Linked DNA regions of Rattus norvegicus. The protein of the gene in region 1 interacts with the protein of each later gene in a pairwise test. Links are inferred from orthologs where the notes say so. Each region holds a gene or a part of one and is shown on either strand. Other genes may lie near its edges. The genes, in order: Prkaa2, Kifc3 and Ccnb1ip1.

Region 1 (10,780 bases):
GCTGGGGACCAAACCCAGGGCCTTGCACTTCCTAGGCAAGCGCTCTACCACTGAGCTAAATCCCCAACCCCAGGAATATATATATTCAGCAAGGAATTTGTAGCAAAAATTTATTTCAAGAAATCCTGTTAACTCAGCTTAAAAGTTGATGAGCAACTTGTTTTAGCCTATCTTCTACTGATATACTGCATATTTGAGAGCAGGTAATTTATTAAGTAAGGCAGTTTATTTGGGCCAGTGGCGACAGAGGTTGGGAAGTCTCCGAGCATGGTGCCAGCATCTACTCAGCTTCTGGGAACCACTCCATGGTGCTGGCTCTCATAGCAGGAAAAAAGCAGGACTAGCAAGTGCATGGGAAAGCCACAAACCACAAAGGACGAACTAGCTTTATAACAATAGTTTATCTATCCCACTGTTACTTACACACTGAAGAAAGGCAACGATTCCACTAAAGACCAAGATGACGCAGAAAAGTTCCAGCATCTTTCAAGTGGTATGGGAATCAAATCCAAGATAAGTTGTCATACAGCGCAAACCCTATTCAAGACATTCATTGTACACCTCAACTAAACACAAGCACATAGCCAGGTGGGTTGAACGCCTTTAATCTCAGCACTCAGAAGGCAGAGTTCTAAGAGTTGTAAGCCAGCCTGGTCTACATAGCAAGTTCTAGGACAGTCATATCTACATGGTGGCACCTTATCTCAAAAATCAAAACAACAAATATATATATACACATATGTATATATTTATGTACATATGTATATATTTATATTTAAGAAAATATATATATGTGTATGATTGAATAAATGAAATGATGGCCAATAGTAAAACACTGTCACTACTAAAATGCAAGGTCAAAACTCCATGCCCAGTGGAATAAATGTAACAAGTCAAATAATAACCACTGTTGATAAAGAAATGGAGGGAAATGTCGGTGGGATATAAGACGGTACGACCATTTTGGAAAACAATTTGCCAGCATCTCAAAAGACAAAACGATGCTAGGAACCAGCAACCCCACTGCTAAGTAACCATCCGAGGTGTGAAAAGATGTGTGTCTGCAGTGGTGAGGTTTGGATACGAGTAGTCCTCGAAATGCTGTGTGTTCAAGAGTCAGTCTCGAGTTAGTGAAGCAGACTGGACCCCACCCTCAGCAAGGGACTAATCCCTGCCATGTTCATAGCACCATCGATGGCCATACTGGGTGGCAGTAGAGAGTAGGAGGTGAGCCAATCTTTAATGAGGTAAGCTTCTTTGCTTCACGTATTTCCTACCACAGTGTTCTGCCTCATTACAACACAGAACAAAATGATCAAGTAACTGCTGGGATAATATTATTGTGCACTGTGTAAGGATTGTCTTTTATTGCTCAAATGCTGAGTTCTGTGCCAGGAGAGCACTGATTGCAAACCGGACTTTGATACTGTTATTCGTACAGATACATCAAACTTTGTAAACACTCCCTCTCTCACCTTCTGATTGGTTTAATAAAAAAAGCTGACGGCCTATAGTGAGGCAGGAGAGGATGGACAGGACTTTGGAGAGAGATAGAACTCGGGAAGGAGAGTCCAGGAGAGTCCAGCTGGAGAGAATTCTCCAGCCAGATGCTGAGGAAGACATGGGACTAGAGACTGAGACATGGTAACAAGACACAAGGCAGAATTTAGGTAAAAATAAATGGGCTAATTTACAGGCTAGATGGGAATAAGCCTACACTATAAGCCCTTAAGCATTCATAATAAATATGTCTCCATGTTGTTACTCAGGAGCTGTTGGTCCCAAAGAAAGTCCCATTGCAAGTAACCACAGACATAAACCTCTTAAACATGGCTGAACTATATATGTCTTCTCTTTGAGTTAGTTTCCCAAGTATTCTCTCGGGGAAACAACACACATCCACACGCAGGCCTTTGCGTGTGAATATTCATGGAGGCGCTCTTTGTAATAGCCTGTATAGCAAGACAATGTCCAGCAGCTAAGAAGCATGGGGGGAGGGGGAGCATACAACAGCTCAAGCAACAATAAAAAGGAAAAAAATCAGTGATAGATATGAACTCAAGAACAAAATGCTAGACATAGAGACACCATGCTCCACAACCCCTTCATCTTTTTCCAGAAAAGACAGTCCTTATACATATTCGGCGTAAATGGCTGTATCCGAGGGTTGTGGGTGGGAATGGGATTAACTACATTTAAAATAAAGGATAAGATAAATTTTCTCCAGCTAAGCTACATGGATGGCTGTGGTACTTGGTAAACTTGGTACTTGGTACTAAAAACTGTTGACCTGTATACTTAAAATCAGTAACTTCTATAATATGTTTTATAATACCTCAATACACATTTTTAAAACTACACATGCCTTGCATAGGGGAGGAGCTCAAGAAGGCCCACTCTCAGATGAGAAACTACCTACACAGTTCACAGTTGTTTATGGGGTTGGGGGCAAGGGGTCTAGTTTTCTTCAGAGATGTGACCCCTAGTGGATTGGCCCCGTACCCATGCACATATCTGCACCACTATATACATATGTGACATTGGGATGGAGATTTGGTGGGAGGGCATGAAAGGAGTTGGAGGGGGAGAGAGAGCGCACTAATTAAAGCACATTGTATGAAACTGTCAAATAATAGATTAAAACGTATTCTTATAATGCGTGTGCTCTGTTTCACCAGTCCCTTGACTTAACTACTTAACAACTACGGCCGTACTGATTACAAACCCATACGACCTAGTTTAATTTCTGTCATAAAATGCCCTGACTAAAAGTTACTTAGGAAAGAAAGGGTTTATTTTCTCTCAGATCTCCAGGCTACAGACCTTTTGAGGGAAACGGAGGCAGGAAGTTGAAGCAGTCACATCCTCAGTCACCAGCAGAGAGAGAGACAGAGAGAGACAGAGAGAGACAGAGAGAGACAGAGAGAGAGACAGAGACAGAGAGACAGAGAAAGAGGGAGAGAGACAGAGGGAGAGAGACAGAGGGAGAGAGGGAGAGAGACAGAGAGACAGAGACAGAGACAGAGAGAGAAAGAGACAGAGGGAGAGACAGAGACAGAGAGAGAAAGAGACAGAGAGAGAGACAGAGGGAGAGACAGAGACAGAGACAGAGACAGAGAGAGAGAGAGAGAGAGAGAGAGAGAGAGAGAGAGAGAACACATGCATGGATGTTTGCTCATGCTCAGCCATCCCTCTATACTTACACAGTACAGGACCCAATCTCAGGGAACAGTGCTGCCCAGAATTTTTTTTTGGGGGGGGGGGGCTTCCCACTTTAACATGTGCACGAGCTAATTAGATCTAAGTAACTCTTCATTCAGATTCCCTTCCTAGCTAAGTCTTCTTTGTGTGCATTTGACATAAATAGTAACTATCACACCATACAGTGTTTCTTTAGGGAAGATCAAACAACATCAGGAAAACCCCCAAACAGCTCATTCCACCAGGGTTCTCCAAGAAAAAGATTTTTCTCGTAAATCAAAGGTCCCTTCAGTTCCATTTATACTTTAGGAAGCTGGTGGTTTAGAAGCAAAGAATATAACCAAATAGTTTTAAATTATCCCGTGACAATGGTTTGAGGAATCAGAGTTGGTATTGCACTCTACACCGAGAGTACAATAAATTTTTTTTCAAAAGCAAACAAAAGCATTTAGCAGAACATGAAAGCATAAACGGCTAAGTTATATAACTTACCCTAAATGGCAAAGCAGCCGTTTGCATAACTTTGTACTGCCAATCCAGCAAAGCAGTTCTCAGCAAAGATGGTGTCAACATCACCCATCAAATCTCTGGACCATCTCACGACTATCCACAGTTCTTACAAGATCCCGATTTCATAAGACTTCAAATAACTTTACGAACATTTTAGGTCTTTACAAAAATACCCACTTGGTGAGACCATGTGTGACCACCTTAATATAATCTGCCTAACTAAAGTCCCCATCCTTTCTTCCCCTAGTTGCCTTTCTCAGTAGGAGGGAGCATACATTTTTCACGTGTATTCTGATTGCATTTCCCTCTCGGAAAAGTCCCAAGAAAGCTCAGGTTTTGCTTTCCTAGAACTCTGTTGCCTGGAACAGTAACTCGCATGTGGTAAGAGCATTCAATAAGCAGTGTTTCTCATTGTACAAATGGGTATTAGATAGACCGAGAGGAGTTAATCCTCGCAGGAATGATGAGTCCCTGCCTTCTATTCAAGTCTTCACTGGAGGTTAAAATGTGAAAAATATGCCTTAGCATAAAATTCCCAGACTGCTTACCCACTATTTATTCAACAAAAAAAGCTAACGTTTCACTTTTAATTCTCAACTCGCTACCAAGTATCTTCTTAACAAGAGCTGGTAATCAAACCAAACCCATGTGACTCTTATTAACTAATAAGAAAACAAAGCAAAGTTTAATACTTAACTAGTAAGTGGAGTTGAAATTTCAAAAGCAACCTGTTTTTTTTTCCCCCCAAAACCCACAATTTGCCATCAAACAAACGCCTTGCCTAAGCAAGTCTGACATCTTGGGGACCCAAATTCCATTACCAAGGAACATTTTTCCCAGACCCTGACCCCAGAAGTCTTCCTAGAACCAATTTACACACACCAATCAACCTGCAGAGCTGGGGTTCCCCTAAAGCCTCTGCCCAACCAGCTGCATTCCAGCGTTTTCACACACCCAGCAGAGGGGACTCGCCACCTCTCAGCTCTAGGCATGCCCCTAGTCAACTCCACCATCAAAGGCCTGGGACAGGGAAGAATCTGGGGAAGCCAGGGGCCTTATCGGCAAGGCCAAAATTGGAGGACATTTTAGACCTCACCCTGAATCTGCCAATTCTCTGTGACCTTGGGCGTGCCGCTGAAGCCTCGGAGCTCGCGTTCTCTCACCTTTAAGGTGAGGACCGCACCCTGGCTACGCCACGTAAAGGATTAAGTGAGACCACAGATGCTGCTCCAGGCAGAGCGCTTGGCACCAGTGGGAGACCCACTCCCAATCCGCGGCGCCGTGACTACCCCATCCTCCCCACGCTTCGGGGCCCTTTGGACTGGGCCAGTCGCCCAATTCTGCAGACAAGTGAGCTGACGGGTAGAGAAAAGACAGGGTGCTCGCAGACACCCCCGCCAAGGCACAGCTCAGACCGTGGGTCCCCCTGACCCACGCCCCGGCTGCCGCGCCAGGTGCCTGTGCCCCGGGCTCGCCTGCGAGCGCTCCACCTGCCACCCGGCCCCGCGCCCGCGCCGCTGCACTCACTCTTCACTTTGCCGAAGGTGCCGACGCCCAGGGTGTCCCCCAGCACGTAGTGTCCGATCTTCACACGCCCGTCGTGCTTCTGCTTCTCAGCCATGTTCGGCGCGCGGCCTCCCCGGGCCGCGGGCTCTAAGCGCCGCCGCCGCTGCCGCCGCCGCCACCGCCTACCCACAGTGCAGCGGGCCCGGGGGGCGGGACGGGGACGCCTGGGGCGCGGTAGGGTGAGCGCGGCTCGGCGTGTGTGGACGCGAGCTGGAGGCGCAGAGCCCGAAGCGTCCTGAGGAAAGCCCACGGCGGTGAAGATGGAAGGGATGAGTCTGAGAGCGACCGAGGTGAAAGGAGAATCTGAAGAGAAGTGGGGGTGAGGGGGTGCAGACCATGAGACGTGCCTCAGGACAGCAGGACCAGGCGGGGAGGGCGGCCCTTCCCTAGCCCCTGGCACGCTCCCCCCAGGCAAGGTTTATTTGACTGGGAACGCTCTAGTCCGTACCCTCCTCAGATAGCGACCCCATTGTTTTAGAACTCACGCTTATTTTGTAGTTCCTTGTCACGTTATTGTTAGGTCGAAACCCTGGACAAACTGCCCAAGGAGACGCCTATCATTAACATATCAAAGATGACGCTGGCTGCCAGGTTCTCTCAGCATCCCTCAGTCCCTAACTGGGATAGGGTCCTCCTGCCTGCCATACCTCGACTCCTACCCCGAACTCTCCAGCCCAGGGACTCCAGCCCCTTCCCTCAGGTCCCCTGGTCCCTAGATTATTCAGCCATTTTGGCTGTGCTAATCTCTCAGCCCAGACCACCCACCCCTCTAGGCCTGGCTCCTCTCTTGCTCCCACTCCCCCTCTCTCCTCACATAGCCCTGCTCAGTCTGCCCATGTTCACCCTGGACTCTCCTAAACGTCCCTGCTTCTGCCTGTACGTTCGTTTATCTACAATAAGCCTTCTTCGTTGTGTTAGTTAAGGTTTTTTTTCATTGTGATAAAACACCATAGCCAAAAAACAAGTTGGGGAGGACAGGTATTATTGTTACACTTCCACAGCACTGTTCATCTCTGAAGGAAGTCAGGATGGGAACTCAAACAGTACATGGAACCTGGAGGCAGTCCCGATGCAGAGGCCATGGGGGGTTAGCACCGGGAGGGTGCTGCTTACTGGCTGGCTCATCAGGGCTGGTACAGCCTGGTTTTCTACAGAACCCAGGACCACCAGCCCAAAGATGGCACTACCTACAATGGGCCATTGATCACTAATTAAGAAAATGTCTTACAGCTTACATCTTATGGAGGCATTTTCTCAATTGAGGTTCCCTCCTTTCAAATAACCCTAGCTTGTGTCAATTTGACAAATGACAAACCAGCATATCCACTGTAGCCAGGAGCAATTATGTCCCTCCTTCTATTTCTTTTCTTCATTCAGTTATATAGACAATCGTGTTATAGGGATAAAAGACACCCTCTCCAGGACTCTCGATTCTAACTAATTTAAACAAAATTTCTCAATAAATCACAAACAGAGCCCTAAGTATATTTCAGCACTTGTGTGTGTGTGTGTGTGTGTGTGTGTGTGTGTGTGTGTGTGTGTGTGTGTGTGTGTGTGTGTGACTGGACAAAGGAGAAATACTAATATAGGAAATAATTCACATGTTCAGGTAAATGCAAAACACAGAAGGGATCAAAGAATTGTGGGAAACAAAAATGATGTAAAAGTGCAAATTAAAGAAATGGATTACTGAGGATGAAAGTAAAAAAATAGTAAAGAGAATCCAAAGCATGACCAGAGTATTAACAGTGGGCAAATAATTTATGATCAAGCAATCTCTTCCTCCCTGCCTCCCCCTCCCCCTTCTCTCCTTGCTTTACTTAATGTTGGTCGATCCTTCCATACCTGAAGATTATTTGCTTCCTGTTACAGGAATATGAAACTTCATACCTCCATTACTTCCATAGCAGTTCCCTGAACACATACAAACACTGTACTGGCTAGTATTGTGTGTCAACTTGACACAGGCTGGAGTTATCACAGAAAAGGAGCCTCCATTGAGGAAATGCCTCCATGAGACCCAGCTGTAAGGCATTTTCTCAACTAGTGATCAAGGGGGAGGACCCAGCCCAGGGTGGGTGGTGCTGTCCCTGGACTGCTAGTCTTGGGTTCTATAAGAGAGCAAGCTGAACAAGCCAGGGGAAGCAAGCCAGTAAGTAACATCCCTCCATGGCCTCTGCATCAGCTCCTGCTTCCTGACCTGCTTGAGTTCCAGTCCTGACTTCCTTTGGTAATGAACAGCAATGTGAATGTGTAAGCTGAATAAACCCTTTCCTCCCCCAACTTGTTTCTTGGTCATGATGTTTGTGCAGGAATAGAGACCCTGACTAAGACAAACACATTTCAAAACATTATAAACACTTGCAATTTTTCCCATGAAAAAAGTAATTTAGAAACACAAAGAAAACTGATTATTTGCTGTTTGGTGATTAAATTACTAAAGGTTAGTCAAACAACTGTGACACTGTGCATGCCGATAGAGTTTCATAGTCACATTCCTCAAACATGAAGTCTCAAGTCACGATGTTTGTACGTAAAGAGTGAACCTAGGAAATGGGCATAACAAAATTTCATCTCCTGAGACCTAGTAAACATACAACTGACTGACTCTCTTTTGTGTGTACGCCATGGCGATCTGATGAGAGGTGATCTCAGCGTATAAATTATAGACATCACAGCTGTCGGACACGGGCTATTTTTGTTCGCTCTTCAGATCACCTTTCCTGCTGACAAGACGTCTCACTTACGAATCTCAACCTAGCTGGTAAATTTGAGAAAGCTTCCTGGCTATTTTTAAGGCTGAACTTTTATTTGGTTAAAGACCATTCCCTTGCTAGTCATTCGGATGGGGAATATGAGAAAGCGTTTCTGGTGAGAGTTACATATGTGTGTCTGTGTTGTCCTAATAATCTAATAAATGATGTCGAAGAGTCTTTACATTGTGAAGCTACACCAGGGAAAGCTATCTGCTGAGATCTTAAAGCACGTTGAGCTGCCTGTTCACTGACAATTCAAGTTTCTTTGTTATTCCAGTAACCTTGTGGTCTTATGCTAAACAATACTTTCTTGATTAAGAAGTTCATTTAAACGCAGTTATTTGTCATGAGGGAACATTATTGTCCCCATTTTATAGATGATAAAACTCAGTTTTCCCTCCTTTTTTCCAAGGCTGTGAAGCTAAAGGCAAAGCCGGCCAGACTCAGATCCAGTTCCAAGCTGTCCTCTTCCTTCCATTTCATTATAATGGAATCGCATGACACTCTAGCGAGTTCCAGACCTCCCCAACTCTGCCTCCCAAGTACTCACAAGGCATGCACCGCACCACCCAGTTGTGGACAGGAATTCCAAACAAGGGGGTGACCTATCCTGAATATGGTAGCACCAGGCCATAGACTGAAGCCCAGGTAGAATAAAAGGGGAAAGAAGAAAGCATCAGCAGGCACAGGCGTTCTCTCTGCTTCCTGACAGACATGATATGAGCTGCTGGGCCCTACTGTTACCTCTTCACCATGACCAACTGTGATCTTTGAAACTAAACCTCCTCTTCAGTCATTCTGGCAGGCATCTTGTAACAGCCATGCAAGGCAGTTAAGATTCCCAGGTTAAATATAAGGCATAATTTTACATATCTCAGCATCCCAATCAGAGGTGAGAAAGAAGCATGAGTCAAAAGCAACCACATTTTATAGATTTGTGGTAAGGCATTTTTATTATTCTTCAATTTCAAATAAAAAGAAAATTAAACATTTAGCAGTCATATTGATGGGATCTTGTCTGTAATACAGGTTCAAAATTCACATTGAAAACCCATTCTATGAGAAAATGAGTTTAAAGATGGGCAGAATGTACTTCCAGCCTGGATGGGGCCAGACATGGGAAGATCATGAAGTCCAGGATAGGCTGGGCTACCCATAGCAAGATGCCAAGTAGACCCCATGACTGTTGATAGATACTGTTCACATTTGCCAGCCTAATTCTCTACATTTTCATTATTAGTTTCCTGGGATATTTAATAACAAATAACCAGATAGATTGTCTCATTAGTAAATATCTCATTTCAAAGCTTTAGCATACTAGGAATTTATTTTAGAATAGCTGTACAGTGATTTCTAACAAAATATACACTAAGCTCTTAACAGTGCGGGATATTTTATGTTCAATTTCTCTAAATTGCCTTATGAACATAATTTTACATTTTGTTTATTCTGTACCAGATTCAAAAAGAAAGTCATGACAAGTATTTTGTTTGTACATCTCTCAAGTTTCTTGTCTACAGTGGCTTCCACCTCTTCTTTGAGATGAAATTTGCTTTTTAAAAATTACAGTTATTTTACCTGTCTCATGTGCTAAAACCATGTTAGACATAATTATTTATTTTAATAATTCTTTATGACCATAAGATGTAGCAGAGAAAATATTATGTTTAGAATAAAATAATGTGTTCGAGTTTAGCCACTTGACAGTCTGTTCCTAAGCCATTGTTTCACTATTCATTAGTTAAACTACTGATGTTGGTCTAGACTTTCTGTATAGTACATTTTCATTGTTAAGGAGTTTCACTCCAAAGTCTCACTCCTCATTTTAGAATAGGATTATTAAAAGAATAAGAAGCCAGTCCTGGAAGACCAGACCTGTGTCCTAGCTACTTGGGAGGCCGAGGCAGAAGTTTTATCAGTGCTTGCAAGGATTACAGAATGAGTTTGGGACTAGCCTGAGCAAAAGTACATTCAAAGGAAGCCTGAGAAATTTTACCAAGACCCTACTCTCTCTCTCTCTCTCTCTCTCTCTCTCTCTATATATATATATATATATATATATATATATATATATGATCTAGCTTGGCATAAAGTCATTTGCCTAGTGTATGGAAGGTCCTAGATTCAGTCCTCCGTATGATGAAAATAGATAGATGATAGATACAAACATACATAAACGATAGATGATAGATAGATAGATAGATAGATAGATAGATAGATAGATAGATAGATAGAATAGGATTACTATAAATCTTAGTAATTCACAGTTCAAGGTTTCTCAACAAATGCTTTAACACTGGCAGATTATTTATAACTTTACCCTTTGACATTTATCATCACTGATTTTTAAGGTTGAAGGATAATACTAGGCCTAAACTCTTAAAGAGAAGCAGATGCACGTGACAATACCTAAAACTCTTTGAAAGAAATATAGTAAGTTTGAGATGTTATTTTTAGCAAGAATCCTAGTAAGAAATGTCGTCGTTAACATGATCTATTTTCATTTTGTAGCTGTATACGTTTCTAAATTGCCTCAATATGAGTCAACATTAGAATACTCAATGTATCTAAAGAAAAAAAATGAGCACTTTGGTTCAGGCTCTCTTCACAAGCAGATGTATTAATTGGAATAACAAAGGCTGTTTGCTTTGCTGTGTAAACATTATGGGTCTTGCCAGCATTTTGGGGAATCTTGCTTTCATGTGTATGTTGAAAGCTCATGTGAACTCAAACCCCCTTTTGAGACC
Region 2 (10,680 bases), on another chromosome or scaffold:
AGTAAGAACACCTCAGCCCAAGGGCCAGGTGGGGGAGAGGGCCCACCCTCCCTGCAAGGGCTACATTCCCACGCCCTTGGCCTACCACCAGGCAGAGTGCCATCCCTGCCCTTCCAGAGAAGCCCCATGCTTGGGTGCCCAGAGCCACACAGAGACTCGCTTCCTTCTGAACATGTTTCTTATCTCTGAGGAAGAGCAGGACGGGAGAGCCTCCATCTCCTGGATTCATGGTGGGTGTTACAGCAGGTAGCCAGGCCAGAGGGCCCACCCAGGTCCAGGCCTGGCATCGAGGCACATCTTCACACAGGCACTGGCCTCAACTTCCCTGAAAAAGTAGAAAAGGAGTGCTCAGCCTCTTGTCTCAGGAGGCAGCCCATAGCAGATGCAGAGCAGGGGGCCAGCGAAGCACAGCGGGCAGGCAGCGGAAGACAAGGCTGGCCAATATGCTAAGCCCTGACAGAGCCCTGCAACCAACAGCGGGCAGCCCCAGGCCGCTGACCCCCACTTACCTGGAGACTGCAGCCCCAGCTGTCAGGCTGAAATCAAAGTGATAGCCGTCTCACTTGGGGAGGGGTGCTTGGCCCAGCTGCCACCGCCCACTTTGGACCCAGTGAGGGGCCAGGCCCCCAAGTGAGGAGGCAGGAATCTCAGGTCACAGCCCTGTGGTGAGGCCCCCTTTTCTATTGGGGTTGTCTGGGCTGCTTTGTGGGTAGAATCAGGTATCACCAAGGCGAGGGCCCCTATATACACAGTGTGGGCCTCAAGTCAGTAGCACATGGTAGGAGCTTCTAGGGCCAAGTCCTTTGTCACCCTTTCCAGGGATTAGTAAAACAGTTCTGCTTTCCGACTCCTGCCGGGGCAGGCAAGGGAAGGAGACTAAACTCCCATATGCTCAGCAAGCAGCTTCCCTTTGTAGGGTGCAGTCTCACTCTATAATGTTCACTGGCCTGAAATTCACTGTGTAAACCATGCTCGCCCAGAACTCGCCCCTTCTGCCTCTGCCTTCCAAATGCTAGGGGCACACGGCACAAACTATCGTGCCCAACTACCTCTTTTCTCAGACTGTTTGGAGACTGTATCGACCAGGCTGTCCTCAGACTTGAATCCTCTTGTGTCAGTCTCCCGAGTAGTTGAGATTATAGGTTGAAGCCGCCAGGCCTGGCTCAAGGCTGTTTCCTCCCTTTCTAAGACAGCATATCCTTAGCTAGGAAAGGATGGCCTGGCCCCTCCCATCCAGTCTGCTCCTAGACAGGCTTACCTGACGGCTGCAGTTTCCTTCGGATGGATCCCGGGCGGCTACTGGTCCCAGAGCCAGGGGCAGAGTGGGCTCGTGCTGTAGGCTGTGGTGTCTGGCAAGCTGGCTCCCACTGTGAGCAGAGATGGCAGTGGGGGTGGAAGCTGAGGCTGCCCTGGCTCACTGTCTCTCGACACTGCGCTTCCCTTCTTCCCTGACAGTGCTTGCTCATCTACAGAGGGACTAATAACACTACACCTCGAGAAGTCACAGGGCAGGAGTTAAAGATTATCTACAACTTAACGTGCATCTACCATGGGCAACTGCTGGCCCCTGAGACAAAGGTGGCCAAAGGGGTCACGAGTAGTGCCATACAGCCTTAATCTCAGCCGTCAGATCTACTGGGTTTGAGGCTAGCCTGGTCTCCAAAGCAAGTTCCAGGCCACTCAGTGCTACCTAGTGAGACCCTGTCTCAAGAAAACAAAAGCACCACTGAGCTCTAGTCTCACCCACCTTCGGGTAGCTTCCCTTCTCACTACACCAGCCTGCCTGCCCCTTCCCTTACTCAGTACCAGCCTCCCCTCCCCTTCCTCCCCTCTCCCATGCAGTACCTCTAGATGCTCCTGGCTTGACCAGGAACCTAGCTCTGTACGGCGGGACCCAGGGCCCAGCTCCACAGAGCGAACCCTCTCAGCAAACTTGAGGGAGTACAGAGTCTCACTGGTGTTTTTCTCCACTGGGGACACCTAGGGGACAGAGAGCTCAGGTCCAACCCTTGGCAACTGGCTGCCCCCTTGGGCTACAGGGGGTAGCAAGCAGCATGGTCCCCGAGGGTGCTTGTGGTCAGGGGAGACCACTGTGGGCAGTGAAAATGGGCAGGGACCTGTGTACTACATGAGGGTGTTGGGGAGGTCTATGTGGGGATTGGGGAAGGCAAACGGCCTGGGGAAGCCCTTCCTGAACCCCAAGCCCTCACCTGTACCACCATGAGGGTCTTGCTGTCACCACTGAGTGAGTCCTGCAGCAGGTAGGTGAGTTTGGAATTACGGAAGGGCACATGGCCCTGTCGAGAACGCAGGGCAGCGATGACGTCCCCCAGGGCAGACAGTGACCTGTTGATGTGCTGTGCCTCTCGCAGGCGGTTGCCTTCAGCCCCCGACTTCCCTACACGCTCGGAGCCAGCCAGGTCCACCAGGTTCAGCTTCCCTGCAGGCAGGGCAAAGGGGCAGGTCAGCACTGCCCCAAGGATACCAATGCCTGGAGGGGTTGACCAGAATGCCCACCGTGTGTCTCTCACCCGTGGTGCGGAGGCCTGTGCTGCAGTCCACGCCTCTCACCGTCACAATGAGCAGAGCATGGGAGCGTGAGCTGTGTTCATTCAGGTTGGTGAACTCGGTGGTGCGGTTGTTGTAGCCAAACTCAAACACCTGGGGGCAAAGACAGTGGGGCTCCCTTGGGAAGGGCAATGCCACCCTTGTGTTTGATCTGGACACTCAAGTCTTTTTGAGGTTTTTTTTTTGTTGTTATTGCTTGGTTTTAGGCAGAGGCAAGGTCATACTGTATACACCAAGCTGCCCTCCAGCTAGCTCAGAGCTCTGCCTGCTTTTGCCTCTCAGACACTGGGATAAAGGGCTGTAGGGCATCACTTCTTGCTTGCTATATTTAATTTTTTGTTTTGTTTTGAGATCAAGTCTCACTCTGTAGCCTTGTCTGGCCTGGAACGTCTAGGTAGAGCGGATGGATCTCACAGACCCACCTGTGTCTGCTTGTGTGCTGACACTAAAGCTGTGCACCCAGCCCTGTTTTTGAGACAGGGTCTTGCTAGGCAGTCAAACTGGTTTCAGATTTACAACCCTCCTGACTCAGCTTTACTCAGCCTTACAGGGTGCTCCTAAGTCTGCCTTTCCTCTCAGATGAGGAAACAAGGCTTGGACTTACCCAAGCTGCATAGTTGGGTGGTGGCAAAGGCCACCCTGGAGCCCAGTTGTGTCCACTGGAGCAGCTAGGGGTGGGCAGGGCCTCCCGTACTCCCCCAGGACTCCTTACCTTGTTGATATCATCCACGCTCTGCACCTGGAACTCAGTCAGCCCTGGCACATACAGCTGGCCGCTGCCATCTGGACACAGTCGGATCTCCAACTTCTCCTGAGGCTCTTTCCCCAGCAGGTCCCTGGAGCAGCAAGGGAGACATTACTTCTCCCCTCCTGCTCTGACCCAGTCCCTAGCCTGGGATCTGCCCATGCACCAATCTTGGACCACAGGGCTGCTGACCTCTTCTCTCCATCCACCTCCCCTGCACTCAGAAAAGAGGAAACGGACTTCCACAGAAGTCTGAGGACTGTGCAGCCTAACTGGACGGGGGGCCCCATCCCTACCAAGTACAGTGCAGCACACAACAGGGAAAGGAGTCCCAGGTAAGGAAAGAGGACTTACCTCCTAAATTTGGGCAGATCTTCCTAGCCTCATCTAGAACTTAGACTTGGAGACCAGAAAGCCCCCTACCAGCACTGCAGAGCTCTGGCCCAGGCCCACCTGAGGACTTCGTTGTAGATCTCAGCTGCACTGACGGTGATGTTGTACTGCCAGTCGGACGCCTTCTCCTGCACCTCTGAGAAGAGCAGTTGCAGGGCCCGCTGATTAATGCCTGGGTTCTCGGGGGTGCCCTGTTGGCAAAAGTAAAGGCCAAGTGGCCCCACAGATGCTCACACATGTTACCCTATGCCCTCAGGTACATACACCCCTACAGGCGAGCCTCTTCTGCTGTCTGTCCTCAGATTACCCTCTGCTAGGTATAAGCACGTTTCCCTACCTTGAAGGTAGCATTTCCCTGCCAGGAAGTTAGTGAGCATGAAAGGGGTGAAGAGCCTGACAGACTATCCCTGCGGAGCACCAGGGTTATGATCTACTGGGCCTCCTGGAAGGGGCAGCTGAAATGAACAGAGCCACCCACTGCCCACTGGGAGGCTCCCAGTCAGGGAGCCAGGCTCTCTGGGTGAAATGCTTGAGGCTGGATGAAATGACCACCTTTCAGAAGGAATCGAGCCCACCTGAGTGGACCGTAGCCACCTCCCCTCTGCTCTGTAGGCACTTCCCTCATCCCATCCGTGTTAGATCTGTGTCAAGGACGCTGGCTGCCGGGCACACTCCAAAGCCCTGCAGGTCTGCCTGTCGAAAGTTCTACAGCAGCTCCCTCAGGTACCCCATCCCTGCTGGAGCGTCACTTCTACTCTGGCTGTCCCTGGCACCTGCGGGGAACCTGCTGATTTACTGTGCTCACTGCCACTCCAACAGTCAGGTGGGACCCTTGCAGGCTCTTCTGTCATTGCAGGTCTCTCGGGCCTCAGCAGAGAGCCCAGGACAGAGCTGAGTACTCTGGAGCCACTGTGCCCACCCCCTTCCATCCCATCTGTGTCCTGCTAACCAGAACCGAGTATGTGAGTTAGGGGTGGGGGGTCTGGGATGGTTACAAGAGGTGTCCAGTGGCCTGACCAGCAGGAAGTGACAAGCTCTTGTGCAAACTTCTCTCCCTAATCCTATGTGGGGGAGTCCACACCAGTCTCTAGTGAATCAGGAAACTACTAACAAAGCAATATGCCACAGGGCTAGTCTCCTCTCCGTCAGACTCTTCAGCTCTGCGCTAGGAGGGGAGACGGAGGCCTGAGGATTGCACAGCCCTCACTTTAATCCAAGCACTCAGGAGGCAGAGGCAGGTGGATCAAAGGTCAGCCTGGCCAACACAGTGAGTTCCAGGACAGCCAGGGCTACATAGAGACCATGTCTCAAAACAACAGCAAAACAAAATTCTACTCAAGTAGAAGGATTCTCAGGCTATCGGGATGAGTGGAATGGCATCAGCCCCCAGGGAGGCCTTGAGCCATGGGACGGAGAGACTGCCTACCTACATGACTATAGTTGTGGGAGGCTGGGCTCTCCGAGAAGGGCCTTATCCCAGGCGTGTGCCCAGAGCCAGCCTTAAGCATAGTCTGAGGCAGCCACAGCAAAGCACGGGGAATATATGCAAGGTCTCGGATGGCCTGTCCCCATATCAAGCCTATGGAGCAGGCTCCTGGGAAGAGCTTATTGTTTGTAGGCTTGGTCTCTTGGAGCCAATGCAGGAACAGCAGTGCAGGGGGTTATGAGACTAAGACAGAGCATACACTTAGGCCCCTAAGTCCCGCCCCACTGGGCAGACACCTACCTCCATTGTATACGTCTTGCCGGCGCCTGTCTGGCCATAAGCAAAGATGCAGACATTGAAGCCATCGATGCAGGAGGTGATGAGGGCCTGCACCTCCTGGAACACCTGGGGAGACATGGGCTGGGGAGCATGTGGGGCCCCACAGCTCCAGCATCAGCCGCCTCCCAGCCAGCCCTTCATCCACGAGAGCACAGGGGCTGGGACCTGTTCCCAGCTCGTCCATTCCCAGGGAAGGACCAACCAAACCAAGGCTGAGGATATATGTGCCTGACACATTCTGACGTAGGTCTAAAGGACAGAGCAGACGTGAGCTCTTCCGAAGCAGAGAGGAGTGTGAAGTTGTGACTCCCCCAGCCTTGGCACTGAGCAGTCAGCGACAGTGGAAGGTTCTAGAACGTTCCATGGAACTGTTACAGGAAAGAAACTCAGAACAGGGGAGGCCAATCTCCAGGCCTACTGGCAGATGAGTGAGGTCTTGGGGTGGGAGGGGCCATGGAGTGGGTAGGCTAAGGTCCCTGGGTAAGGCAGGCTCTGTGTGGCTCTCCGTCCCTAAGGCCTCTGACTATACCTTCCCACCTTCTTCTTTCTTCCAGGTAGAAAAATGACCCACAATCCTACACTTAGGTTGTTTTTTTCCCCCACCTAGCCTTGACCCCTGTCCTGTGTCTGTCCTTTCCTCTGTTGCTTCTTCCGTGTCCCCACAAATACCCTGTTCGTGGAGCCACACTCACATCCTGCTGGGACGCCCACGGGGAGAAGACCTTGTCCAGCTCGAAGGACACAGGCTTGCCCTTGTGCAGCAGGTGGATGATGGAGTCATCATCAGGGTCAAAGGTCACAGCATTGGTTGCCTCAGGTCCTTCCCCATCCTCCTTGGTGACTGGCCGGACTCGGGCAATCACCCGGATGTTTCCTAGATTGGGTGACGGAGACGTGGGGGGGATCAATGCCAGACTGCAATTCCAGGCAAACTAGTGGCCCAGGAGCCCCATCTTTTATGCAGAGACCAGGGAGCAACACAGTATCCGTCACTCAGAACACTGTGTGAATTCACTTACTATAGTTTCTTCCTGAGCAAAGTCAGGATGCTTTGACCTGTGGCCAAACAATACAGTCAATCTTGGAAACACTCTCTGTGGACCTCATCTAGCAGAGATGTTTGGACTCCATGAACCAAGGGATTTATTCTATTAATCTAAAGGGGCATGGGCAATGCTAAGCAGGACTTGGGTACTGGACGGACAAAAAGGACAGCTATATGTGTGCTCCCAGCCCTGGTGACAGGACACACCTGGTGATGGTCACTGTCCCTTCTCTCAGCCACCGTGAACTTGGCAAGGGCTGTGGTATGGGGACACAGTTACTTCCCCAGTGTCTGCAACAGTAGCTGGCACACAGCAGGTGCTCCCTGGGGCTCAGGGCAGGGATCAGTGACCCCCAAACCTGGAACAAGTGCTACCATTGCACAGTGCCCTACCACATCCCCCAGGGTGGGCAGAACCTACCATGGGCAAGGAGCTTGGAAGATGATCAAGTTCAAATCTGGGGTGGACCATACACTAGGTGTGTGTCTTTAAGCAAGTTTCCTGACTTTTCTGTGCCTTGGCGGTGGCGGCGGCGGCAGCAGCAAGTACAGCTCTGACGCACATTTGAAGACACTCACCCTTCAGCCGCACCAGCTCGTTATGGCACTTCTTGCGCAGCTGCAGCTCCCGGCGGTACTTGCGCAGCAGCTCCTGGTTGTTGCTGTTGACCTCCTCAATGGCCTGGCCAATCTGGGGAGCAGGCACAGCGCCTTCAGACGCCTGCTGTTGGCCTCCCTTCACTGGCCGCTGGGGTCGCTACCCTCACCAGCCCGGGCTCGTACCTGATAGCAGACAACCTTTCCCCATAATCCCTCTGAGGAGGTATAGCCAGTGCCCTCACTTTATAGATGGAGAAAAAGAGCTCTAGACTAAGACTGAGCGAAGACTCGGGACTGAGGACCTGGCTACAGCATGACCCAGCTTCTCTCAAATCTAACCTTTCCCGAGCAGCTAAGCACAAGAAGACATTCCATCGGTTCTCTCCATGGGTGAGAGGGACGGAGAGACATTAACCCAAGATTGAGGATGCTCAAATATGACCTGGGTTCTTCACAACATCTGTGTATCACCGACATAATTCTTTAAAGAACTATTTTCTTTTCCCAAAATATATCCGTCTCTGCAGAGCTGTCAAGTGAACCTGAGAAGCCAGTGGCTATGAAAGGCTCGGTCACACGGGAGACACTTAGGAGTCACTGGCTAGGTCTCACACAGTGTGATGGTTTTAAAAAACAAAATGAGCACAAGGATAAAGTTCTGGGGTAGAGCTTCTGCCTAGCGGGTGTGAGGCCCTGGGTGCAATCCCTAGCACGTCAAGTACATAAACAGAGCAAGCCAGGGATGGTGGCGAGGCTGAGGCAGGAAAATACGAACGGACGTCAGCCTGCTCGAAAAGCCCTGTCTCAAATAAACAACCCTGGTAGATAGATACAGGGGTACGGCAGCACAGACGGAGCTCATGAGAGGACAGTGTGTGCATGTGCGTTTGTGCCTTGTGGGAGTAAGGCAAGAGGGGCCTCTGAATAAAGGTGACTGCCGCTCCCGGCTAACTCCCACTGGGCTCCCTCACTCACCTCAGCTTTGACACTCCGGAGAGCCTCCTGCAGCAGCAGGGGGAAGCCCCGCACCTGGCGCTTGAGCCCATTGTAGTCGTTGGTGAGGGTCCTCAGCGCAGGCTGCAGCGTCAGCAGGTTGGTCCTGACACCTAATGGGGCAGGGTGTTAAGGCATCTGCGGGTGAGGCAGGGGCGTGGGGGCGGGCGGGGCCAGCTTCCAGCTCACCTGCCAGGTTCTCGTGTACAGCCTTCATCTCCACCTGGGCCCGCGCAAAGGCCTCCTCAATGGCCCGGTTCTTATCTTCCTCCAAGGACTGCATCTCCTCCAGCATCTGCCCGTGCGCCCGCTCCAGCTCTGCCTCATACATGGCAATCTGATGGCCAGGCCAGGCCAGGAAAAGGTGCAGTGACGGGGCAGGGGCAGGGATGAGGAAGGGAGGGGCAAGAGCGGGAAGAAGGCATGAACGGAAGTGTTATGGCTGGTGGTGTAGAGGATGGAGTGGCCTGCTTTCCCCCGCAGGGCTGTGAGTCTGTACAGCCATCACCCCCCTGTATTAGCCCCAGTTCCCACTGGTCTGTACACATAGATGGCAGCCCACATGCCCCCAAGGTACACAGGCTCAGCAGATTGGAAAGAGCAGGGGCGGGACAAACTGAGCACAGCACTGGGTGGCCAGGGACAGCCCCTCCAGATCATTTTCCTGTGTTCCCCGTGGCCAGGGAGAAAGAGAAACTGAACCCCAAGTCTGGGGGGGTCCCCACTACAGCCGTCTTGGCCTGCACACCTGAGCCCGCAGCTGTATTGTCAGCTGATGCGAGTTCTGCAGCTGCTGCTCCATCTCCTTAAGCACCTGCCTCTGCATGGCCACTTGCTCCTGCAGGTGCTGGTTCCGGGTCTGGGACTCGCTGAGGGCCTGCTTGGTCTTGGACGACTCTACCTCCACTGTCTTGATGACATACTGCAAAGAGAGGGAAGGACAGGGCGGATCACTGTCAGAGGCAGCTGACCCACAAGTGCCAGCCCAATGACAGCTGCTGCTAACACCTCTAGGAACTGAAAGGCTCTGCTTCTGCAGACTGCTGCAGGGCCTTCTGGTGTCTTGTGAAGGGGAGCCTGCTGGAAGCCTGACAGCCCGGGCTGGGCACAGACTGAAGAGGGACATCGACAACAGCAGGTACACCTTTCAGGGACAAGCCCTGCCCTGAGCCCAAGAGTCCTTCAGGGCGGTGCAGCCTCTCTGGCCACTCACCTTAACAGGTGGGGACTGGGCCTTCAGACTGGCGATGGTCTCGTGGCTGTCACGCAGGCGCCGGCTGAGTCGCTCCTCTTCCTGTGCTTTCTCAGCCAGGCAGTCCTTGAGCCGCAGCTCTACCTCTGCCAGCCGGTCGGTTTTCTGCTGCACCTCCAGGTTCAGCTCCGACAGCATGCCCTTGTTCTCGGCCACTTCCAGCTGCAGCTGGGATAACCTGTCCCGGAGCTGGGTGCTCTCCTGCGGGTGGTCAAGGCAGCCGGGTGGGAACAGGGTCATCTCAAGCTGAGCCCACAGGCCTAGGGTGGAGGCTGCCTTCCAGCCTACCTGGCTGTGCTCGCAACCCTGGCAGGGCACCACCGGCTGTGCCCGAAGCTCCTGAAGCTCCGCCTCACAGCGCCTCAGCTCTTGCCTCAGCTGCTCATTCTCCACCATCAGTCTGTCCCGGTGCTTTTCCACGTCGGTGCCCCCCTGTGGAGAGCCGCCGGGGCCCAGAGGAGGCATAAGCAAGGCCGTACCAAGAGATGAGAACGGAGGAAAAGAGACAGCAGGAAAGAAAGGGGAAGGCAGGCAAAGCAAGAGGCCAGGGCTCAGAGAGACGTCAAAAGAAAGGCAGGAAAGGAGGCCAGCAAAGCTCGCTCCCTCCTGCCCCGGCCCCTCTCAGTCTATTTTCCTTCGTGTGAAAGTCACACAAAGTCAAATTTATGCACAGACTTCACACTCCTTCTTGACGGCAGCCAATGAGATCCAGCCCCCTGCTCTGTGGTGTGAAGTGACACGTGTGAGACAAGACGGCCTAAGCCAGGGTAGGGCATGGGCACTCAGAGACAGCCACATCCGGAGGTGGAAGAGTGACCACGGCTTGGCACCCACCCCTCCCCTCAAGAAGGTCCTGGGGTCCTCACCAGTTCTGATCGCAGTCGGCTCACTTCCTGGGCCTGGCTAATGAGCTTTTCCTTTAGATTCTCCACCTGTAGGCACAAAGCCAGGTCCTTACCCCACCAGTCCTCACTCAGGCCTCTTGCCCAGCTCCAGTCAATAGCCAGCATGGCTTCTGATCCAGGACCTCAAGTTTCCCTATGTTCAAGCACCAGGCTACGCTGGGAACTCTGGTAAGCTAGCCTGTTCCCAGTTGCCTTCAGTGCCCTCTCCCTGCCAGTCATGGCTCTGCAGGAAGGCCCGGAGAGGTGCTCTAGAAATTCAGGACACCGCACTAGCACAGGCCCCTCTGAAGCCCTGGGTCTGCCTCTTTTTTTCTTCCCTTGAGACAAAGTTTCTCTGAGAAGTCCTGGCTGTCCTGGAGCTCGATCTGTAGACCAGGCTGGCCTCAAACTCAGAGATCTGCCTGCTTCTGCTTC
Region 3 (10,269 bases), on another chromosome or scaffold:
TAGACTGTTACTGTTGAGCCTAGCTAAGATTTTATCTGTCATAAAAAAACTGGCTTGTCTCCTCAGGAAGTGTGCATAGATATAGAGAATTTTTTCATTATACTAGTATTTCACAGTGGTTGACCTTGGGAGTTATTGGAACATTCATGTTTCTGTTTTAAATGATTTGTTGATTAATAAAATTTTAAAAATTTAATGTGTTTTGAGTGTTTTTGCTCGAGTCTTAACCATTTATTCATTTGGTGCTTGAGAGCAGAAGGGGGTGTCAGAGTCCCTAGAACTGGAGTGACAGGCAGTTTTGAGATGCTGTGTGGGTGTTGGAAATCAAACCCAGGTCTTCTGAAAAAAAAAAAAAAAAAGTCAATAGCCCTAACCATTGAGCCATCCCAAGTAATGAATTTCTTTTCTATTCCCCCCCTCCCCCCAGAGGCATGGTTATCCTTAACAGTCCCAGTTATCCTTGAACTCACTGTATACCAGGCTGGCCTGGAACTCCCAGATCTGCCTGCTTCTGCTTCCTGAGTGTTGGGATTAGAGGGGTGTGCTCACTGGGCTCAATTAATAATAAATTTCAATGTGTGGGTGGGGTGTACTCGAAGGTGAGAGCCGACTCCCCAGAATAGTGTCACAGAATCAACTTGCAAGTCGGGTGATCAGGAACACAGTAAACCCTGACAGTTCCACATGTTGCTGTCCATTGTTTATGCTCTTTGACACTTAATGAGGTTGTACTGTGTTTGTATTCTTTATGTGTCTGGGACAGTTAACCAGAAAAAACTCAAGTTATGGTTTACTCATGAACCTACTTAAAGAAACACTGCTGTCCTAAGTTAAGGTAGAAGTAAAGCACCTGACCTCAAGCCCATATTAAATATGATATATATTAAATATCCTGTACCCTGCTGTTTCAAAACCAGCCTGCCTAAGGAAAACAACTTCTCCAGTCCCTATCCTTAGCTAAAGAATCCCACCATGAAGCATGTAGTCTGCATTTTCTTGAGGGCTGGCTGCTGAGTGACTGTCCTGTGTCATCATTATGATGGCCTGTTTAGAACTAGAGATGCTAAATCTCTCTTTGAATAAAGCCAGCTATAGTTGTTGGTGGTTTAAATTCTCATCTGTTATTTTCTTCCTATAAACTACTGACATAACTGGTACCAGTAGGATTTAAGTTGCTAGGGGCATACAAATGTTAGAACCAATTGAGTGGACTGAAGGAATATGGTTTCCAATGGCTGTAGCTTTGTTTAAAATGCATGAAAAACAGGTTCTATCTCCAGCAAACACTCCCTTGATCCCAGCATTTAGTAAGTTCAGAAGTTCAAGGTCATTGTTACACACCAGTGTAGGAGACATGAAGCCTGGGAGAAAAGGGAAAGAGGTTTAATATTGGGAAACATGGTGACCTTTGTGTGGCTGTTAATTCATTCACAACAAGTTCATGTCCTTTGAAGGTGGCTGCAAGAAAGTGGCATTAGTTTGCATCCTAGCTACCTTCTTCTAATCCTCTTCTCAGCTTAATTTTAACAGTGGAAAAAACCACTGTTGCTACAGGTAAGCTCAGAAGGGCAGAGTTACAGCAGTGTTTAGGAGCTGGAGAGGTGGCTCAGCAGTTAAGAGCACTGACTGCTGCTCTTCCAGAGGTCCTGAGTTCAATTCCCAGCACCCACTTGGTGGTTCATAACAGTTTATAATAGTTTCATGGATCCTATGCCCTCTTCTGATGTGCAGATTTACACACAGACATAAATATATATATTTTATATATTTACACATATACATAAATCTTAAGTTTGTCACTTTACTAGCAAAGATGCCTCAAAGTTAAGACTCCTGGAATTGGAGGGCTTACCTCAACAGTGGGACATCCATGTGGAAACACAAACATGTAACTTTGGGAAAGGGTCTCACTGTATTTCCTGGCCTAGCCTGGAACTCGATCAGCTTTTTTTTTTTTTTTTTTTAATGTTTTATTGTATATGAGTACACTTGCTGTCTTCAGACACACCAGAAGAGGGCATTGGATCCCATTACAGATAGTTGTGAGTCACCATGTGGTAGCTGGGAATTGAACTCAGGATCTCTGGAAGAGCAGAACCCAGGGCTGGGGTTAAAGAAATCGCGCCATTATGTGCCTGGCTAAAGATAAGTCTTAATTTTCTTTTCTTTTCTTTTCTTTTCTTTTCTTTTCTTTTCTTTTTTTTTTTTTTTATACCAGGTCTCTATTAACCTTAGCTGTCCTAGAACTCTGTAGCTCTCGACTCACGGAAATCGCTTGCCTAAGCAGGGATTGAAGGTGCTGCCACCACCACCTATAACTTCCTATCAAGCGCCTTGTTAATAACCAGTGCAGACAGACTTAAAATAAGTTATTTCATTAACTGTAGATTGACCAGTAAAAACAGGCATCCGATTACCTCAGCAGTGAGTGCCTGGTGCTGCCCAGCAGCTCGCCTCGTGCTACCCATCAGGCCTTGCGGGCACCACGCATGCGCTCTGACAGCTCAGCCACGCGAATCCTGTCTTCAGTGGAAGGCCGACACCTTTTAGCTTGTCTTGCTACAGGTATTTGCTTTTCTGTGTGTGAGGTGGGGGAAGTCAGGAGATTAAGAGAAAACTGTGGGGTCATGTTCTGAAAATCTTGGCCTGCCGTCATCTTGTGTGACCTCCCCGGCTGCCTTGTGGCAATGTGGAGGCTGCACTTTGACCTCAGCTAGGAAGTGCGCTTTACCCTACTGGAGGTAAAGTAAAATTGGCCTCTTCTCATGTGAATTGTTTCAGGAAACGCAGCAAGGGTGTCGGTAAATCTGAGGACAGGGTCTCATTGTAGCCCATAGTTGCCGCAGGTTCGAGAGACTTCTCAGGCTGGCAGGTTCGAGAGACTTCTCAGGCTGTCGGTCTGTCAGTCGGTCCGCAGTACAGGTGTGACATTTGAGATGAAGGTGTCAGCGTATCCATTGCCCCTGTTACTCAGGTAACATTGGTTTGCTTTTGAGACAGCATCTTGGTGTGTAGCTGAGGCTGGCCTCGAAGCCTAGGGTGACCTGGAACAAAGTCTGTCTTCTGAGTGTTGGGATTAGAGGTGTGGCCCATTAATCACACTACTAAGGAGACCTTAGTACTAAGTATGTTGAATGTGCTTGCTTTGTCTTTGTATATAATTGATACACCACTTATACAATATATGACTTGTTAAAGCTGCTGCTTTCTATGGTGAACATTATTGAAAAATAACTTTAGACTAAGAGAATTTGTGGAAACATTTTAAATCAAACCATAGCAATGTTAATAGGTGTATTATTTAACTAAAAATATAAACAGGCATTTCAATGTAGACTTTCCAAGCTTCATAACAGGTAAATTAGCCTCATATCTAATTTTATCAGGCAGCTAGTCTTTTAAAGTCAAGGCAGTTTGGTTAAGGGATATGAGAAATCAAGATGTATAAAATAACCTAAAAATACCACTTAGATTTTTTTTTTTACTGAGAAGTTCCTGCAGCTATGTGCAGTCCCATGTTTACCAAGTAGGAGGTGTACTAGCCCTAACTGGCCTGAACTCACTGTGTAGAATGGCTTGACCTCGAGCTTTAAAAACTCTGTCTGTTTCTGCCTCTCAGGTACTCTATGACCTGGTACCACCATTCCTGGTCATTAGTAGAATGCTGTATGTTTTGGTGTTCGAAAAATGCCACAAGGGACAGATTTTATTTTTGTTTCTTTTTGCTGTGTGATGTTTCTAAACATTTGCATGTGCATAATGTTTTTGACATTGGTAAGAGTTGGAGGGCTGGAGAGATGGCTCAGTGGTTAAGAGCACTGACTGCTCTTCCAGAGGTCCTGAGTTCAAATCCCAGCAACTACATGGCGGCTCACAACCATCTGTAATGGGATCAGATGCCCTCTTCTGGTCTCCTGAAGACAGCTACAGTGTACTCATATATAATAAATCTTTTTTTTTTTAAAGGAGTTGTAATTATCTATATATATGACTTTCTTCATGACCTTGGAATGAGAAGGCATTGAGGCTGTATATACGTTCATTAAAACAATGTCCAGTTTTTTAAAAATAGCACTTTAGTAAAGTTTCATATTCACTATAATTTGGCTCACTAACCTTCTTGTTCCTTGTTAGGATTCTTTGGGACACTCGTCATGTCTTTGTGTGAAGACATGTTGCTGTGCAATTATCGGAAGTGTCGTATCAAGCTCTCTGGCTATGCTTGGGTCACGGCCTGCTCTCACATCTTCTGTGATCAGCATGGCAGTGGTGAGTTCAGTCATTCACCAGCAATCTGCCCTGCTTGCAACAGCACCCTTTCTGGAAAGCTAGACATTGTCCGGACAGAGCTCAGTCCGTCAGAGGAGTACAAAGCTATGGTATTGGCAGGGCTTCGACCCGAGGTTGTTTTGGACATTAGCTCCCGAGCATTGGCCTTCTGGACGTACCAGGTTAGTGCCCAGGGGATGGGGGGGTGCCTCAGTTCGTAAAGTGCTTGTGTAAGTGTGAGGGCGAGAGCTAGGCTCTCCTGTGAGGAAGACCTGATAGGCAACATCACCCTGCACAAGCACAAGCACACATGCACACAGACAAACATACACTGAAGTGTCATTTGAAGCTTACCGAGGATCTGCGTTTCTCTTGGTGTGAGGTATCAAACCCGGGGGCTTGTGCTTAAAAGGTAGTGCTTTCCCACCGACCTCAATCCCTAACTACCCTCTGAGGGATTTCCTAGGAAAAAAGCCCCTTCATTATACTTATATTTCATATAAATACGTGAATGCATAGAAAACTTTGTTTATATTAAGTATTTGTCATGTGCTAAGTAGATACTTGTTTTTATATTTTGTGAATAAACTCTGAAAAGTGATTATTAATATTACTAATGCTGGGGCTGGAGAGATGGCTCAGTGGTTAAGAGCACTGACTGCTCTTCCAGAGGTCCTGAGTTCAATTCCCAGTAACCACATGGTGGCTCACAACCATCTGTAATGGAGATCTGATGCCCTCTTCTGGTGTGTCTGAAGACAGCTACAGTATACTGACATACATGAAATAAATCTAAAAAAAAAAAAAATTACTAATGCTGGAAATTAATACGGCAGCAGTTATTCCTTATCCAGCTAGTTCTCCAAGTAACCACACAGAGACCTTTTAATATTTCAAAGCTTAGGCCTTAGCTGAGTAGATTTAATTAACCACCTAATCCCACCCAGTCATGTGGCAAGCTGCACCGTCCAGGCTCTTAGTCACATGTCTCCTCTCCCGTCTCCTGGTGAAAAGTTTCCTTTTCTTTTCTTCCCAAAGTTCCTGTCTCCCTCCTAGGAAGTCCTGCCTATCTCTCTCTACTGCCCAGTCACAGGCCTTTTATTGACCTTTTATTGACTTGGGGAGCAAGGTTTTCACAACAAAGGCTGGCGTATGAGAGATTTCATTCGTCTTAGGGCAGCCAGACGAATATCTATATCGAGGGGTATAGAATTTAGCGTTTTCTTACATAGCGGCACCAGACTAATCTCCAACAACTGAGCTTGTGCTTCTGTTTTATTGTTTATGCTGTATTCCAGCTACTTTAGCTAGAGGGTTTTTTTTTTGTGGTGCTAAGAATCAGGCCCAGGGTTGTATATATGTTAGCCATGCCAAACTGTTTTCCAAAGTGGTTGTACTACTTGGTTTGCTATGTTCTAGTTACACGTTCTGCCCAACATGGGGTCACACATGTGTAAATTTTAGGAAGCAACAATATCTTGAGGTCTTATTTTACTCTGGGTCGTTGGGAAAATTGGACATCATCCATGTATCCTGTAAATATGAATTTTTTTCCTTGGTTTTTGTGCCACGTGGCCCAGGTGGCCTTGAGTTTGATCCTCCTGCCTGTATTTCTTGTCTGCTGAGAATCATACATAAACTTTCACAGCTAACTTTTCTGCTCTCTTTAAAGCTTAACTTTCAGGCTGTGTGTCCCTTGTGGATAAGACATGCTTGCTTTGGTGGCCTAGTTTTCTGAGCAGCCCTTTTTCTGTAGCCCACTCATTGTATGTTGTGACCGTTATAAATATTGTAACAGTGATGCCCCTGTGTAAGCGTTCTTTCCACTTCTGCGTGGATGAGCATTCGGAGTCTATAATGTTGTGCTGATTCTTATCTACTTGGACAGGTGCACCAGGAACGTCTCTATCAAGAATACAATTTCAGCAAGGCTGAGAACCACTTAAAACAGATGGAGAAGATATACACGCAGCAAATACAGAGCAAGGACGTAGAATTGACCTCTATGAAAGGGGAGGTTACCTCCATGAAGAAAGTTCTGGAGGAATACAAGAAGAAGTTTAGTGATATCTCTGAGAAACTGATGGAGCGCAACCGCCAATACCAAAAGCTCCAAGGCCTTTATGATAGCCTCAGGCTAAGGAATATCACTATCGCTAGCCAGGAGGGCTCCCTGGAACCAGCTATGATCCCACAGTCTGGAGTCTTTGGCTTCCCATCAGGTAAGAGGGAATCTCACGTTGTGCTGTGTCATTCCCCACATTCAGAAGACTGAGAGTGATGGACAGGAGTAAGGTGAGCTGTGGGGTCCTTGTCTTACTCCGTACACTGTTGCTCTCAGGTGGAGTGCATACGTTTAAGTTATTTTTATTTTTATTTATTTATTTTTTTTGAGACAGGATCTCTGCATAATCCTGCCTGTCCTAGAATTCACTATGTTGATCAGGCTGGCCTCAAACTCACAGATCTGCCTGCCTCTTGAATTCTTGGACTTAAGGAGTGCACCACCATGCCTAGCTGGAATTATTTTCAGTTTGAACAGAGTTAATCTCTGCATAGTAACACGCTGAGCCACCTTGCTGTCTTGGACTGAGCAGTTCTTATTTCTGCCTTTTGATCCATTTGCTTGTTTAATCTGTTATCACGTAATTATCAAATATATTTTATATGCTAGGCTCTTGGTCATGATTCCAAGTAAGAAGGATGTAATAATTATTGTTGTCTATGCACTTCAACATCTAGGATGACTCAGGGTCTTTGCTGATTGTTGGCTGATTGTTGGCTCATTCCCGGTGGCACCAGTGCAATAGTGTCCAGCAGTTTTTTTCCTCAGTATTAGCACAGTGTATAAGTTGGCATACACACTTAAAGTCTCGTGGTGGACTTTTCCAAGTACTTAAATTTTGGTGTTAGAGGCTAGAGAGAAAGATTCAGAGGGACAAAAATGTCCTGGAATGGGACTGAGAGGTGAGAAGAGTGTGCAGACAGAATGTCCCATGACTGGGACAGGGAATGTCTCACGGCTAGGTGGAGTGGGAGGCAGAGGCAGGTAGATCTCTGCCCACTGCTCTACAAAGCAGCTTCAGGACTGGAGTGAGACCCAGTCTAAAACACAACCTTTTCCTAACGTCATTATTTATAAATGGCAATTCTGTCATTTAAAATGGCCATTGAATATATCTTTTTTTAATCCTTGTACATGTTTTTTACTCTCTTGGACATTTTTAAGAATATTTTTAATGTGTGTGTGTGTGTGTGTGTGTGTGTACACATGTGCATTTCCTATGGAGTACAGAAGAAGGTGTTGGATCCTGAAACTGGATAATCGTGAGCCACTGTGTGTGTGCTAGGAACAAAACCTCAATCTGTTAGAAGGGCACACTTCACCACTTAGCCTCTCCTTTTCTTAGCCTGCTGTCTTTAGACAGATAGAGTCAGCTATTCTTCTTCCTGAAGTCTGTTAAAGCCAAGGAAGGTGTGGGAGAAATGGTCAGATGTTTACTCTGCTTTGATTTTTCACAGAGGGAATAGTATATTCTGTGGTAGGGAAGGGTTGAGTGACATGGCCTTTGTCTAGGAGATGAGTTTAAGATAATTATGTTATCCATCTTATAGGAGTTGAATTTTGTTAATTTTTGTTCAGTGGTTGTTAGTTTTGTCCCTAAAGATCTTTTAGGAATTATTCTTACTTTCTTCCCTAATTTTCTCCCCCAGGGAATAGCTCAAAGTTTTCTTTGGACCATACACCAGCTGGAAATCAAGGTGGTGGAGATGAAGATGTTCAGTTCAGACCATTTTTTGTGTGTTCTCCCACAGCACCTGAACCTGTTAACAACTTCTTTAGTTTTGCGTCTCAAAGCCATGAAGCAGAGCAGCAAGTCTGCAGCAGGGCCTTTAAAGCAAAAAGAATTTAGCTCATTTTTTATTTCAAGACTGTTTTCCTGCATCCCTGGGTTCTCTTCACATGTCGGCCTTAGAAGAAGTTGGCTTGCAGTCGGTATGTGGCTTCCTGTTTGGTTTTTTCACTGTTTGCTTAGGGCACGGGCATTTCATGAATGTCAGTCTCTAGTTTGCCATTGCTCACACAGTCACACTGCTGCACAGATCGTGTTTCAGACCAAGCTGTGTTTATGTTTATGTAGCCACCAATGTTGTATTTACATGGCGCTTTGGATTCCAGTGTGTGTATGTTGAGTGTGTGCATTGATTCTTCTGCCAGTATATTTCTGTAAAAATTATGGTCTTGGAAAATGATGGCCAAAATAATGGTCTTAGAAAATGGTGGCTTGCAATTAACATGTACTTTACAGTCATGTATTTTGGAGGTGTGCTTATGCCAGTGGCTGGAAGTGCAATTTGATGCATATGTGTTCTGTTTATCTTTAAAAAAATTTATACTGATAAAATTATTTGTTGATTTCATTGGTATTTGTTTTAAAATAAAACTGCTTTACCTTTTAAACAGTTGTTGATGTGTTTATTTGGGAATGGATATATTTTTATTTTTAATTATGTGTATCCCTGGATATGTGCACAGAAAATTGAAGACTTAAGTCTCTACTGTTCTAATCACTTAATTAAAATGCTGAATAAAGGCCGTCTTTATTTAACTGCACAGCAATACAGTAATGACCCAAGTAGTGGCGATGCACTCAGGAGGCCAAGGCTCGAAGCCCTCTGAGTTCGAGGCCAGCCTGGTCTACAGAGTGAGTTCCAGGACAGCCAGGGCTACACAGAGAAACACTCTCTCAATAAACTAAACAAACCAAAAAGGACCAAGGAGCTTCTTTCTTAATCTTTTATGCAAATCTTGTAGGGGAGAAAATTGTTTTTTTCTGGCCTTGCTAACAGAACATTGTTAAGGCTGTGAATTCAGGTGAGCCTGGAGTTGCCCTGGAAGTCCAAAGTGTAGTCAGACTGATTACAGGGTTTTCTTGGGTCAGTCAATTCTGAGTAGGTTGAATATGAAGTAAAAGTAGAGTGGTTCCTAGTTACAAATGACCTCAAAGTACATTAACTTGGTTACAGATAAGGTGAACATTAGATTTGTGAAGAGCAACTTTAAACATAAACAGAACTTCTCAAGCCATTCCTATTCTTGTGTTACTGACTCTAAGAATGATTTCAAACAGTTTTTATTTTAAATTAGGTTCTATTTCTAACTTATAAAGTAATTGTGCCTAATTAGTGCATTCAATTACTGTCTCATTAGAGGACAAACTATCTGGATTCCCCTCCACATACACTAGCGTGAGACTGAGTTAACTTTTCTAGGCTTCGTCTTTGTGGAGACTTACTGTTTTTGGTTTTTATTTTTTCTTTCTTTTTTCTTTTTTTTTCGGAGCTGGGGACCGAACCCAGGGCCTTGAGCTTGCTAGGCAAGTGCTCTACCACTGAGCTAAATCCCCAACCCTGAGACTTACTGTTTTTGACTGGCTTGAGCTTACTACATAGATGGTCAGTGAATTTCACCAGATAAGGAAACTTGGTGACAGTCTGTTTCCAGAGGTTGGGAGATGGGGCAAGTAGCTGTAGGTCTTAAAGGTGGCATCAAAGGTGGCCTTGGCAAAGCTGCCCATGGTGGCAAGTGCAGCCCTGTCTGATGGGTAGCAGTCATCAATACTGACAAGTCAGCAGCAGCAGCAGCTTCTTGGGCACAGGATCAGAAAAAATGCCATTGGTTCTGGGGGCAAGGATAAGATGCAGCGACACAGTGTGGGGCTTACCAACAGTTTCCCTAGTAGCTGTTCTGCATAGGGATACTAATAGTTTGGTCGAGATGATTGCCCCTCGATGGCAGTGCCTGCCTCCTTGAAGCACCTAACACCAAGACCAATAAGTGAAAATACATATTTTATAGCTAATAAAATACAGTTTACAGATTGTAGTATAAAATATGAATTTTTTTCTATGAGATTTTTCGGTTTTGTTGGAAAAACACGAGGAAATAGGTACCTTGAACAGTTTGAAATGTAATCAGGGTAAAATGGAAACAATCTA

The links.
Region 2: the proteins of Prkaa2 (region 1) and Kifc3 interact in binary tests that used the Homo sapiens proteins (3 or more experiments, as listed by UniProt). The two-hybrid records come from large-scale screens. The link is inferred for Rattus norvegicus from reciprocal best matches to the Homo sapiens genes PRKAA2 and KIFC3.
Region 3: the proteins of Prkaa2 (region 1) and Ccnb1ip1 interact in binary tests that used the Homo sapiens proteins (3 or more experiments, as listed by UniProt). The two-hybrid records come from large-scale screens. The link is inferred for Rattus norvegicus from reciprocal best matches to the Homo sapiens genes PRKAA2 and CCNB1IP1.

The regions. Positions count from the first base shown.
Region 1 is NC_086023.1:125,102,986-125,113,765, forward strand, and holds the start of Prkaa2 (5'-AMP-activated protein kinase catalytic subunit alpha-2), read right to left. Parts: upstream 6,026-10,780; 5' UTR 5,763-6,025; intron 5,581-5,762; 5' UTR 5,333-5,580; coding exon 5,239-5,332; intron 5,163-5,238; exon of another isoform or gene 3,694-5,162; intron 1-3,693. UniProt on the Homo sapiens protein: Catalytic subunit of AMP-activated protein kinase (AMPK), an energy sensor protein kinase that plays a key role in regulating cellular energy metabolism.
Region 2 is NC_086037.1:9,915,410-9,926,089, reverse strand, and holds part of Kifc3 (kinesin-like protein KIFC3), read right to left. Parts: intron 10,294-10,680; coding exon 10,228-10,293; intron 9,794-10,227; coding exon 9,650-9,793; intron 9,563-9,649; coding exon 9,323-9,562; intron 9,032-9,322; coding exon 8,858-9,031; intron 8,447-8,857; coding exon 8,299-8,446; intron 8,223-8,298; coding exon 8,092-8,222; intron 7,208-8,091; coding exon 7,096-7,207; intron 6,346-7,095; coding exon 6,164-6,345; intron 5,538-6,163; coding exon 5,433-5,537; intron 3,898-5,432; coding exon 3,767-3,897; intron 3,405-3,766; coding exon 3,281-3,404; intron 2,662-3,280; coding exon 2,532-2,661; intron 2,441-2,531; coding exon 2,211-2,440; intron 1,981-2,210; coding exon 1,846-1,980; intron 1,368-1,845; coding exon 1,259-1,367; intron 1,185-1,258; coding exon of another isoform or gene 1,050-1,184; intron 537-1,049; coding exon of another isoform or gene 532-536; exon of another isoform or gene 510-531; intron 326-509; coding exon 300-325; 3' UTR 1-299. UniProt on the Homo sapiens protein: Minus-end microtubule-dependent motor protein. Involved in apically targeted transport. Required for zonula adherens maintenance.
Region 3 is NC_086033.1:26,486,924-26,497,192, reverse strand, and holds the end of Ccnb1ip1 (E3 ubiquitin-protein ligase CCNB1IP1), read left to right. Parts: exon of another isoform or gene 1-2,489; coding exon of another isoform or gene 2,490-2,565; intron 2,566-2,573; exon of another isoform or gene 2,574-2,974; intron 2,975-4,134; coding exon of another isoform or gene 4,135-4,154; coding exon 4,155-4,451; intron 4,452-6,157; coding exon 6,158-6,491; intron 6,492-7,983; coding exon 7,984-8,183; 3' UTR 8,184-8,731; downstream 8,732-10,269. UniProt on the Homo sapiens protein: Ubiquitin E3 ligase that acts as a limiting factor for crossing-over during meiosis: required during zygonema to limit the colocalization of RNF212 with MutS-gamma-associated recombination sites and thereby establish early differentiation of crossover and non-crossover sites.